Linked DNA regions of Solanum lycopersicum. The protein of the gene in region 1 binds, or shares a complex with, the protein of each later gene. Links are inferred from orthologs where the notes say so. Each region holds a gene or a part of one and is shown in the gene's direction. Other genes may lie near its edges.

Region 1 (6,841 bases):
TTGTTGTATTATTATGAGTGGCTACTAGTGCTACTTATTTTTTGGTCTGAGTATTCACCAGAACTATCCTCAGAGAGAGAATTAATTGGTAACAAAGTATAGGAATGGGGTTTTCAGGTATTTATGGATTTTTGTAATGCATTTCGTCTTACTGTATTTGTCTCATGGAAAAGCTAAGAGTTATTCATAGAATGTAGTATGAATTGTAATACTTTTTTAGCCTATGGTTGCATTCAGTTACTTCTTGTTTAAACTGTCATCCTTGGAATATCGACAGAGAAGTTTATGGGCAAGGGATAAAATTGCTAGCTTCAAAGAAACTGTTGGTTAGACTTCAGTTCAAGTTAAACAGCTTAACGCTTTTTAAGCATTGGAAACTAATCCTATAAATAACTAATTTCGTATTTAGATAAAATTGTTGAGATTGATAGTAATAGATAACAAAGAATAACACATATTTAAGTTCTGTCAAGTCACGTTATAGATCTTGCAAAATAAAATTAAAAAAAGGCAGAAGTTTTGGGTGGTACGTTCATGAATTTTCATTAGCTTTCACTTTTAACTTGTTACGGTATGATGTGGCACATTACTTGCTATGTCTATTTCTCAGGATGTTGTATTTGGATGATGGAGAGGAGATAATTAATGTTAATAAGAAGTCATTTCTTTTTATTGTATGATGAACTTGTATTCTTTATGAATACATTCTCAAAATATTCTGACAAAAATGAATTTATATATATTTCCCTACCAAACACACCCTCAATGCTTTTCTTTTTGTTAAACACCCTCTATGTTTCTAAACTTGAGCATCAAACATTAAATCATTGATTTGCTAGATTTTTTACTCTAATAAAAGATGTGTTATCAAACATTAAATCATTGATTTGCTAGATTTTTTACTCTAAAATATGTGTTATTTATAGTTTTCTCTATTTGAGAGACGCATACTTGGAATTATGATCATATATAAAAGTTTTACAAAGTAACTTATTTTGATATCATCTATTCGTGTTTATCTTTTAAAATATTTTATATACATTCACTTCAAATATACATTGTATGAACTTCAACTCATCGAACATAAATATAAAATAATTGTTATTTAAATAGATGATATATGATTGAATTTTCAGTCCAATATGATTGAAATTCAAAAAAAAAAGATTAGACTTAAACTCTAGCCTAACTTCAGACACAATCAATCTTAAATAAATTTATGTGTATAAAAAAATTAAAAAGTATATCCAAATAATTAGATAACTCGTCAAAATAGGGTACCTGTATACGTCGGCCTGTACATGTGGCTTTAATCTTAAGAATTCGGACTAATCATTTTTTTTTAAAGAAAATTGTATATAACAGCAAACTAATAACCTAAAATAAATAGAGTAGCTAGGGTTTGATTTAATTGTGCTCCATAGCAAACGTTTACAAAAAATTGTCAGGCGCCTCTCTCCCAAATATCTCGCTCGCCACTCTCCTCCAATCTGTCGCTCGCTTCCTCACTTTTTATGCAAACACAAGTGTATAAAATTTATTTCTAATTGTATAAAGCAGAGAAAATTATATAAATACATATGTTTTTGTTCCCCTCTCTCTCCTCTTTCAGATCTCGCTCGCCACTATCCCAAATCTCGCTCGCTACCCTCGCCTTTCTCACTTATATAAACAGAAGCGAAATGTATAAATTGCGTTTATGTTTGTATAAAACATGAGAAAATTGTATATACACATGCAAATACATATATTTTCGTCCTATATACTTATAATTGTACAATAAAAATACTCCCCTGCCCAATTTCTTTTGTCTTTCTCTCTTTCTCGTTTTATACAATTTTCAAAATTGTATCTAATTTCTCTCTTTCTCGTTTTATACGATTCGATTCAATTGTATATTCCTTGTCAAGTCTCTTTTGTCTTTCTCTCTTTCTCATTTATACAAATTCAAATTGTATATAATCGTTCTATACACTTATAATAATACAATCGTTTTATACACTTCGTTTTTATACAGTTCTCTGTCCAAGTGTCTTTCTCTTTCTTGTTTTATACAATTCATTTTATACAATTTGCTTCAACTGTATATGTATAACGAATTATATAATTTCTATGTTTGATATGAAGCGCAATTATGCAAACTTTGCTATAACATACAAATATAAATTTTTTATTTGTTATACGTGAAAATTGCCCTTTTTTTTCCGTTTAACCAAAAAATTATGCACACTTAAATCATTTGTACGTGGCGTGAAAAAAGAGCCATAATAACACGTGGTGTCTTCCACTTAGGGCCTTAAACAGGTTTAAGCCCATGGGCCGGAACCAATAAGCTCCATTTCTCTCTCACGCATCTACAATTCTACATTTGTCTTTTGTTCTCTCGCAGGGTTTGTACCGTAGTATCCAGAATTCTCACTATATCCGTGAATTTGCTGCATTTTCCTGGGGAATTCATCGGTGTTCTTCGTCCTGAAGGTTCATTTTGAAGTCGTATGGAAACGGAGTTTTAGCTCCAGGAGATGATTTCTGTGATGAGCAACAGATTCGAAGCAAATCGAAGTAACGATTCAGTAGAAGAGACGCAAGTTAGGGTTTCCAGTAGGAACCCCTCAGATGATTCTGAACAAGCGAGGGTTTCTATGGACGGAAAGGATTCTAGGGTTTCGAATTCCCAAACGGAGGATTCTAGGGTTTTGGAATCGGAAACTGAGGGAAATCAAACTAGGGTTAACGAAATAAAAGACGAAGAAGGTGGTAGTTCGGTGAAGTCAGGTCGAATGAAGTTGGAGCAGAAAGGAAAGACAGCATTGGTTTCTAGTAAAACTGATGCGAGGAAGGGAAAATTGGAGCCTTATGTTTCTGAGTATGATTTAATGCTCTCTAAGTTTGATGAATTTGCAGGAAATGTGAAATGTTGGTCAGTTGGTTATGGGTTTGAAATGGGTGATATGGTGTGGGGAAAGGTGAAGTCACACCCTTGGTGGCCAGGTCACATTTTCAGCGAAGCGTTCGCTACTCCTTCTGTGCGAAGGAGTAAAAGGGAGGGTCACATTTTGGTTGCTTTTTATGGTGATAGCAGCTATGGATGGTTTGATCCAGATGAGCTTGTACATTTTGAACCAACTTATGCGGAGAAGTCTATGCAAACTAATGTGAAGAACTTTATAAAAGCAGTGGAGGAAGGGGTCGATGAAGTGAGCCGTAGGAGTGCTTTAGGTTTGGTTTGTTATTGTAGGAAGACATATAGACTTCGTGCTGTGTCAATTAATGGGTTCTTTGCTGTTGATTTTAGTGATCTTGAGAGGAATTGTACTTACTCAGCTAGTCAGATTAAAAAGGCTAGGGAAAGCTTTAAACCCAAAGAAACTAGGGGTTATGTGAATAAGTTGGCATTGAAGCCTAGGAGAAAAGTGCATGCGGATCTTAACCTTGTTAAGAAGAAGGCAACCGCGTTGGCTTATAGAAAGGCTGTTTTTGAGGAAGATGATCCTACCTATGCAGAAGCTTTTGGTGTTGTTTATTCTAAACAAGCACAAGAAGTGGCTCAACCATTTAGACAACCCTCTTCAAGAGGTATTATGTTTCACTCCCTTTGTTTTATTCAATGCTCTCCTATCAAAACCCCAAGAAATAACCTTGCAAATCTTTTGCCCTGTTAGTGTGTACTTAATTTTGGAGTATAATATAGCTCATTATTGAGGATGATACACCTAGAAGATGATACACCTAGAACACTAAATTTGAAGGAATTGCAATGTTTTAACTTGTTTGTTTCAAGTTATTTGGATAGAAACTACTTTGTTGGATTGTGTAACTAGGTATTGGTATTGATGTCATGTTGCAGTGCCGCTCAAGGCCATCAACATTGGCACATTACTAATTTGGTGAAGATTGAGTGTTAATAGGATATTAGGCGAGGGAAAGTGTAAAGAACTTTCCCTTTTATATATCCAATCTACTTTTCTAGCCACCCCCAAAATATTGTGGGGTGTTCAAATGATAAGTTGGTCAATGTACCAATGTCCCCCTTAAGCATGAAATTTCACTTTTGGTTATGTTAATATAAGGGTGAACCGCCCTTAATCTAATGGAATTGGAAGATAGGAAAGAAAACATGAGATGAGTTGCACATTAGTGCATAATAATGTCTTATAGAAGTTTACGGCGATTAAAGCTATAACTGGCTGCATAATAGGTTATGCTCAACATTAATGTTGTTAGCTCCCGCTATTGTTATAGTGGGACACGTGAATTAGAGCCTAAAGGCGAATTCAGTTGGTTGGATATCTTCAACTATATAAATAACTAATGGTTGTAGTATGGGTTTTTACTTTATGTGTAAGGGGTTGTCTGGCAGGATGTGTTGGAAAAATAGTAGATCATTAACTTTGTGTATTATTAATACCATGTTTGGTACATTTTTTCAATCTATGTATAACTAATGTAAGTATTAGTTATGCTATATATAATTAATAAATACCAAACATGGTTATAGAAATGTAATGATTTTTGATGCATTCATTAGCATGTTTAAAGATAACATTGTCCTTCAAAGAATTTCCACACCCTTACGACAATATTATACAATGGTGGGTGTTTTTGTGAACATATTTTTTTGTGTGTGGAAATTATGTGATGCTACTACAACAGATTTAGAAGTGCATAAGAAATAATCTCAGTATAAGTATAACTAATGTAGTATTAGCAATACACCTTATTTTTAGGGCTCTTTTTATACACTGTATCAAACGGCCCTAAATGTATAACTCTATCCCCCATCACACAAAAACCAATTCCATCAAAAACCAATTACAAAATAAGCTTCCATTCCTACTAACACGACTTAGGCCTCCTACTAAAACAACTAATTACATTTGTAAATGTTGAATGAAAAAACTACATTTTGTTGCCTTCTTTGATTAACTTAGGATATATAATGTCTCTATCAACATTATCAACTCCTTAAATTGTGTCACTACCTCCTCTCTCTGCATACTTATATTAAATTTTTTCCATTTTCTAGCTCTCCACATATGATAAGGTATCGCCCCACTTACAACTGCAATGATTTCCTTTTGAAACTGCTTCCAATGCTTCAACTTTATGCCCTCTATACCTGCTTGATTCCATTACTTATCAGTGTAATCCCGGTCCACTGCATCAATTCTTGCCACTATTTTAGTCCAACTGATTCAAATAAATGCACTATGGTCTCCATAGTCTGTTCATCACAGAGGCAGTAATCCCTATCTTCAACTAGAATATGTATGTAATCTCAATTTTCTCTCCTGAGTGATTAGTCGACCTTGCACGGTAAACCACACTATGAATTTGTGCTTAGGTGGAGCTACAACAGGCCAAACCAATTCAACAATTTTCATGTGTGGCCTATGTCCTAATAATTCCAAATAGCTTCTTGTGATAGAATATTTCTCACTTTGAGTTGATTTTTATCTGTTCTTGCAGTGCCATTCCTGCATTTGGTACTTAATTGCATTAACTTTCCTCCACTACCAACTACAATCTATAGGTACCTTGTGATTCCATAAAGAACTTTCATCCTTTAGATATACCATGTACCCATTTAACTCACAAAGCTTCCTTGTTCTCTATGGTTTGCCAAATCAATTAGCCCACCGAAGCCACATTCCAAGCACGACTTTCTTTTATATTCAATCCACCTCTTCTTTTAAGATGACACACCTTATCCCATAAAGCCAGTGCAACCTTTTTCCTATCTTCAGATTTTCCCCACAAATAGCTCCTAAACTTCTTTATGTTATCTCTCTCAAATTACTAGCTATTAGAATTAATGTGTTGGGTCATCTTTATCATCCAAGTTAGTATTTTGGAAGGTAAGACGTCAAGGACCTGCCTCATTAAGGTAAATTGCTTGCCTTTTTGAATTGATTTACCAATATATCCTGAAAATTAAATATGTAATTGTCTATATAAATAATCGAAAGCTCAATAACAACAATATATTAGCAAATATTTCAATTCAAAGAACTTGAAGGAGTCAAAATTTTAGACAAGCATTACTAAATTGCTTAAAGTAAAAAGAAAGACAAAACAAGCTAGAAAAGAATGTGCTAGTTCCTAATTACCAAAACAAACTTACCTTTTGCAACTGAAGTCTAAAGACGGATGGAGAACCCAGTTGACTCAGAAAAGGTAAGGGGTGATAAAACCCTAAAATCACAAGCATCGTCTTTTCCTTCCTTTTTTTTGAACTTATGTCACACCTATGTCGACATGACGTGAGTGTGGGATCTGTATTGGATGTGGTCAACCAATTTTGCGTACTTTGGCCAAACTCGATAGTGAAATAAAGACAAAAATAGTGATTTTTGAAATCATATCTAGAGCTAGGGTGATTTAGGCATAAGCTTTTTATCGTTTAAAGATATTGTAATAAAAAATTAGCCGTCAGAAGGGCTGTAAGGATATTTATGGGCTAAAACTTAACATAACTATTTAATGTGTGGTGAACTAAATAACTTTATCATGTCCCCTTAAACCACGTGCAGTAGCTTTGTTGCTCGCAGCAAACCAAAAAAATGAGATACACTTGTAGATATATGATTCTTTTAGACGTATTCCCTCACCCGCACTCGTACCTCGATATGTATCCTTGAATCTTTAAATATGCATTACATATGATCAAGTTTCTGGATCCACATATTTATTACACATACGCCCTCAAGTTTGAGCAACTTAGTTTATTATTTTGGAGTAGTCAAATCAAACTAACTTTGATTAGCATTTGGTCCAGACACAAGAAACCTCTATAGAGCATAAAAAGAGATGTCTAATTATGTCAAAGTGAAGTGTTAAA
Region 2 (6,638 bases), on another chromosome or scaffold:
CACGCTTCAATTTCTTTCCCCACCAAAACCCTACAACTCCCCATTCGCACTTCCAAACTCCACCACCGCCGAGCCACTTTTGTCCGCCCTCTCGCCGCCGTCGAAGCACCGGAGAAGGTAGTCCAGCTCGGGGATGAAATCTCCACTTTAACCCTAGCTGACGCCCAGAAACTGGTTGAGTACCTTCAGGATAAGCTTGGTGTTTCAGCCGCATCCTTCGCTCCTGCTGCCGTTGTCGCTGCCCCTGGTGGCGCAGCCGCAGATGCTCCAGCTGTGGTTGAAGAGAAGACGGAATTTGACGTAGTCATCGATGAAGTGCCGAGTAATGCTAGAATTGCTACCATTAAGGCTGTTAGGGCTTTAACAAGTTTGGCATTGAAAGAGGCTAAGGAATTGATTGAAGGATTGCCTAAGAAATTTAAGGAGGGTGTTTCCAAGGATGAGGCTGAAGATGCTAAGAAACAGCTCGAAGAAGCTGGTGCTAAAGTCTCTATTGCTTAAATCAATTTGTGGTAAATGTTCATTCTTATTCCTTTTTTTTTTTTTGAACTGGGAAAAATTACTGAGTTTTTTTTTGTTTTTGTAAGAGCATTCAGCTATTAGATAGTTGTACCCAATTTTCTAAAATCAATATTTATGATTCTGCATAATTTTGTAATTGTTATTGTGTGTTTCAATTTCTTCTCATCCTCGTAAATTGTACTCGATGAAATAGTCAATGTGCGCGCAAGTTTGCTCAAAGTAACACTAGGCTCGTAACTTATATCACCGGTGTCTATTTCCTCAAGTTTGTATGAGTTGTAATAATAGTTGAAAAATCTCTTGTCCCAAAATTGACCTAAGCCATGCCTGTGCCATCTTACATGAAAATCTAGAGTGAAGCCTAGCAGATGAAACTTATAACTGGTACAATTTTATTTTTTTGGTTTTCATAAGTTTGACCCAATTCATTCATTTGTTTGAGCTATGTACTCGATAGACGATAGCACAGATTTTTAGAACACCTTCAACAGAGGGCAAATAGTCAATGTTGAATGAATTTGTTGGAGAATGCATCAGCCTCCATAAATGCTACTTCTTTGGCTATATAATCACAGTGGGCTTAAAATGTTGTCTGGTTTCTCTCCATCCACAGAGCATGAATGCATTTAGCATATAATATTCTGTTTAGTTAAGCACTTTGAGACTTACCTTTGGAGTTGTTGATTGCTCAATCTAAGTGCTGCAAACATGTGTTAGCAATGAAACTTGGTCTATTGATCCAAGTCAAAATTACAGAAGATAAAGATGTTCTCTATTTTTCGAGTGTGTTTGACAGAATTTATACATTGTATTCACATAGAATGATTGTATGTGAATACAATCTCCATTTAGACAACCTATCTGTAGTAGGAAGCCTGTTTTCAGAACTAAGTTAGTAACATGTTTGGCAACACAATTAGGATGTACTTTCTTGTATTTATGAGATCATCGAAAAAAAGGGACGAATTTCAGAAATATTTGGTCGTAAAAATTGTGAGTATATGATAAAAAAGTAATTTTTATTTTCAAAGTGAAAAATAATATTTGAATAATGAGGTTTTTAAGATTTTTGTGAGTTATACTTTTCTTCGGATGATTTTTAAATTCTTGAAATTTTTGGAATTCTACTTCTCAATTTCTTGCAAAATATTTGTACGGAATTTTCATTGTGTATATAGGGTTTAGTTTTTAAATGACTTTGTAGCTATAACTTGGTTATATTACCAGACTAGTTTAGTGTATTCTTCTTCTACTGTATTTTAAAAAATTCTTGAAATTTATAAATGTTGTATATTAAATTGTTTCAAATATTTGGTTTTTAGGAGAAAAAGTAGTCATTGATACTACTCTTCGAATAGAGCTATACAAGAAGGTTCAGAATTCAGCAACGAGATAATGGAAAACCAAAAAATGTGCTAAAAGACCAAGGCATAGGGTTAATACAAGAATATATATCATGAAGTAAAACAGATAAATACAACTAAGGAGAAGGTCGAAAGCTTTTTTTTTCGTGAATATTCTAAGCTTAGAAGACTAAAAGACTCGTAGATTTCTCAAGTTCTTTGATGCCTTCTAAAATATTTTTTTTATGTACATCACCAAAAGTCAAACTTCTTTTAACGTTAAAAGACTATTGATTAACACAAAAAAACTAACTAGTAGCAAGTGCCTATGTTTCGACACTTCACTTGAAGCTGATTGGGATAGGTCAGCATAAGACTCAAGATTAATGGTTGATCTTCGCAAAAGATGTCATAAGCATGTACAATTTTAAGGTGGGCTCTCCCGAAAAAGGTCCCATTAGTTCTCCAATCACAAATAAACATTAAATCGCCTCAACGAATGATCCTTCCCAATTCCACAAAGGCACAAATTATAACAAGTATTTTCTCAATCTTAATTTTATCACGTATCACCATTCCAATTCCACAAAGACACATTATAACAAGTATTTTTTTTTATTTTAATTTTACCACGTGTCACAATATAATTCGTCGTAAACACAATCCATTTTCCTATAGAACCCAAAAAATAAGAGCGGTAAATGATGGATGATTCAAATTTCAAGGAAGATCCCCAAAATTTACCGCCTACATCGTTGGAAACCTTTCATTTCTTACATTACATCTCGACCGTCCAACTCTTTGTTTTATTTCATTTCAGAGCGTTTTCAAGGCATCTTTAATCTCAACCGTCCAAGCTCTGTTTTGACTGATAGAAACGCAAAATAAGCCAACTGTACGAAAATATATTTTTGTCCAAAACTCAAAAGCCAAAACTCCTTGCGGTTTCTACAAGCTCATTTACTCTTCTCTCTCTCTCTCTCTCTCAACTAACAGAAGAGGCAAGGCGATTCCTCCAGAAGTTTGCAAGCTCTGGTCGATTCTGGTTTGTTCCTTTCCTCTGTTTATGTTTATTCATTTTATTTATCTGTTATAGTTTTTGTATGTGTGATTTTTAATGTCTAGAAATGGAACCCCAAACCCTATGTTCATAGAAAGGTTGAGAATTTGTGGTCTGTGTTTCTGATTATGTTTTTTTTTGGGGGGGGGGGATTTTTCTGAGCTGGGGTGTTGTGTTTTTTTTTTCTTGTTGCAGATTTGAACCGGTATAGAACTGAAGTGATTGTGTTTTGTAACGTTTTATTTGGGTATGTCGAGTGAAGAAAAAACAGAGAAGAGCGAAAACCTAGATGGGTTGTCAGCTGAAGCATTGGACTCTGAAACCCTAATGGCTGATTCTGTAACTGGGTTGTCTGATGAGGTGCCTAGGGTTTCTGATGATAATGGAAATGTGGATACTGGTGCTATTAGCGAGCCAGTTGTTGCTACAGAGGAGACCCTGGAAGTGGGGAGTGACGCTGGTGGTGATGTGGTGGAAGTTCATGGTTCACTGGATAATGTGAGTGGGGGAGAGCTTGCGAGTGAAGGGGCTGAAGCAGATCAAGGGTCTGGACATTTGGTTGAGGAAATGAACGGAGAGGAGAATGTAGCTGGTGGTTCGGATGATGAGATGATTGATGCTGTTGACGGAGAAACTGCTGAGGATAACTCTGGGGATGATACAACTAGTGTAAAACATGTTTATGCAGTTGGTGACTTTGTGTGGGGCAAGATTAAGAGTCATCCGTGGTGGCCAGGGCGTGTTTACGATGCTTCCACTGCCTCTGACTTTGCTATGAAGTATAATCAAACAGGTCGATTGCTAGTGGCATACTTTGGAGATGGGTCATTTTCTTGGTGCCCCCCTTCGCAATTGGTGCCTTTTGTTGACAACTTTGAAAAAATGTCAAAGCAGAGCACTTCCAAGAGTTTCTTATATGCTGTTGAAAAAACCTTGGATGAAATTGGTGTGCTTGTGGAGTTTCAAATGACCTGCCAATGTGTCTCTGAAGAGAGTCTTACTGGACTTAGTTGGCCATTGGCAGTGAATGCTGGAATCAAAAAGGGTGTTCAAGTGCCTGTGTCAGAAACTGTCAGTCTTTTACTTTCTCAGTTTGAACCTGCGGAAAGACTTAAAGGTCTAAAACGTAATGCACTAACCAATTCTCATTCCAATATACTTGAGTTTGCTGTCTTGAATAGTTGGCTATCTGCTTTTTATCGTGCTAAGTATGGACACCCTTTGGCTTCATATTGTGAACCCCTTCTAGTTGAAGGCCTCGAGGACAAGAAGGAAGATCAAGTCATTGATGCAAATGACTTCAGCATACCCATTGAGGTTCCCATTCAGGGTCCATCAGAAGAAATTCCTAATTCTGGATCTTCAAAGTTTCCTATGACTGCCTGCGACAAGATTTATCAGAAGAGGAAGCAGAAAAGTGTGGCTGAACTTATGGGAGAGAACGCCAAGCCCAAAGGTAAGAAGACAACTGAAGACGATTCTACACCTTCGTCTGTAGAAACATCCGAGAAGAAAAGGAAGAAGTCTGGTGAGAAAGCTAAAGGTCAAACTGGCAGCTCGATGAGTGTTGATGAAAAAATTGGTAAGAGGGTCAACAAGAAGTCTGGTGACAGTGACTTGGTGAAAACAAAGAAACTTAGTGTTTCAATTCCTGAGAGTGATGAAGTTGGCAACCAGCAAGACAATGCGGGCCCTTTATCAAGGGAAAGAAAGAAGAGCAAGTATTTGTCACCTCCTTATACAAGCCCCAAGTGGAATGCAGGAAAATCAAGCTTTAAGAGAGAACTGGCAATAGAATCACAGAAATTTTCTGATAATTCCAAGATTGGTGAGAGGATGACAAAGGCTGCACGTCTTCTTTTGTCTTCTCCTGATTCGAATGGGAAAGAGGCCTTCAAGGATGACGTTGACAAGAGTTCTGGGATCAATAAGCGAAGCTCTAGGACTTTTGATACCGTGGCTATCAATTCATCTGTGGATGAAGTTTTGTCCGAGGTTCAGTCTACTGCTCTAAACCCTCTTCTGTTGAGGAATGGATCTCTTGAGAAGGCCAGAGGTTTCATTTCCACTTTCAGAAACTCGCTATATTATGATGGATCAAACTACAAGCAGTATCACCAAATGGAAACAGGAAAGAAGAGAAAATCCGCGGGATCAGGAAATCTAATTTCCCAGAGTGATACTGAATCACCAGACTCCATTCCTTCAAAGAAGAGGAAGACAAATTATGCAAAATCAGAAGTTACCAAACTCAAAAAAGACTATGGTCCTTCTAGTCAGGGAAAAGAAGATGAGGATGATGGTAGAGAAGCTTCATCTGTGATTCTGTTGGTGGCATTTTTGACTGGTTTTTCTTTGCCACCAGAAGATGAAATCATTCGAATATATAACAAGTTTGGAGAGCTGAATGAAGAGGAAACAGAAGTGCTTCGTGATTCGAACTCTGTTCGAATTGTCTACAGGCATGGTGCAGATGCTGCACAGGCCTTTAAAGAATCGGTAAGGCAAAGTCCTTTTGGTGCTGCTAATGTGAACTTTACGCTCAGCTATTCCTCTAAATCTGAGAGTCCACTATCCTCGCTAAAAGCTCGTAAGGGGAAGTCACAGGTACAACTAATCAAGCAGAAGCTGAAAGGGATGGCATCAATATTGGATAAGTGCAAGGGTAAGATTACAAGCGCTGAGAAATCAGAGTTGGAGAATGAGATAAAAGGCTTGGTGGAGAAGGTAAGTGCAGTGACTTCAACAAACCCATAGGAGATCTCCTGAAGCTGGTTGCTTCAACTTGATGTGTTCTCCTTTTGTTGATAGTGTTAGTATATTGTCCAGCTTATGTTGATTAGGATACTGAATGCACTTGTATTAGGTTCGTGTATGAAGTAGGAGCATAGGATGCTAGCTCTGTACAATTGATTTGCTCAAGTTACTATAAAGTTGCAATTACTTTGATTAGTTTTTGTTAAGAGTTAGCTGAATCTGCAGCCATCCCCTGACCAACCAAAACTAAAAGGGAAGTAAAAATGCGTTTGTGTTTTGCATTTATGAATATTCTTGTCAATGTATCGTTGTCAAAAGATCCTGAACTGCACTTGTAGAGATGGTAGCTTGAATTGCTTGTTGAATGCAGGGATACAGTCGGTTTTCTGAGTCTATTATTTGCACATTCAGAGTTAATATCATACTGATATGAGCTTGTTTATGGATACAATAGCCTTGTGAAGTTTGTATTTGTCACGTGACTGCAGAAGTTTAGTGTCTATATCAAAGGCATTCTATATATTTCTTTTAATGAATTATCAAGAATGTACCTTCCGGGTGCCAATGAATGTCTGTGATAAGCCCAAAACAGTCGTGAAGTTCTGCTAACCATAATATCAAAGCACAGATAGTGAAGAAAGGTATTGTCCAGCATCAAGCATTAAGCAGTTACGAATACATCAATTACAATTAGAGGGAGTCAAGAGTTCATTCTTTGGCATAATAATGGCTCATAATCTTTGCCAAACATTGATTGGAGCTATAAGGCTGTGAACTAGCTATGTAACTCTAGATTTGGATATCAACCCAGTTAAAATTCTGACATTTTAGAAAAGAATATTTCAGGATTTGCAGAAAATGAATTGTAGTAGGTTTCAAAACATGTTTGAAGAATATTTATCCCTACTATTATTTCCGTTATTGAAGTTCCAGAACTATAATTGTTGTTGTAATGT

What was found. The genes of interacting proteins can lie anywhere in the genome.
Region 2: PWWP domain-containing protein 1 (region 1) and PWWP domain-containing protein 6 share a complex: the UniProt entries of both Arabidopsis thaliana proteins name them as parts of the PRC2 (polycomb repressive complex 2) complex. The link is inferred for Solanum lycopersicum from reciprocal best matches to the Arabidopsis thaliana genes AT5G27650 and AT5G40340.

What each region holds. Positions count from the first base shown.
Region 1 is NC_090800.1:85,522,418-85,529,258, forward strand, and holds the start of PWWP domain-containing protein 1, read left to right. Parts: upstream 1-2,298; 5' UTR 2,299-2,522; coding exon 2,523-3,576; intron 3,577-6,841. UniProt on the Arabidopsis thaliana protein: Together with PDP2, PDP3 and PDP6, interacts with MSI4/FVE and MSI5 to suppress FLC, MAF4 and MAF5 expression by regulating the function of the PRC2 complex and modulating H3K27me3 level, thereby promoting flowering.
Region 2 is NC_090801.1:65,660,133-65,666,770, forward strand, and holds PWWP domain-containing protein 6, read left to right. Parts: upstream 1-2,760; 5' UTR 2,761-2,910; intron 2,911-3,120; 5' UTR 3,121-3,174; coding exon 3,175-5,682; 3' UTR 5,683-5,874; downstream 5,875-6,638. Other genes in the region: large ribosomal subunit protein bL12c, read left to right, coding at 1-501. UniProt on the Arabidopsis thaliana protein: Together with PDP1, PDP2 and PDP6, interacts with MSI4/FVE and MSI5 to suppress FLC, MAF4 and MAF5 expression by regulating the function of the PRC2 complex and modulating H3K27me3 level, thereby promoting flowering.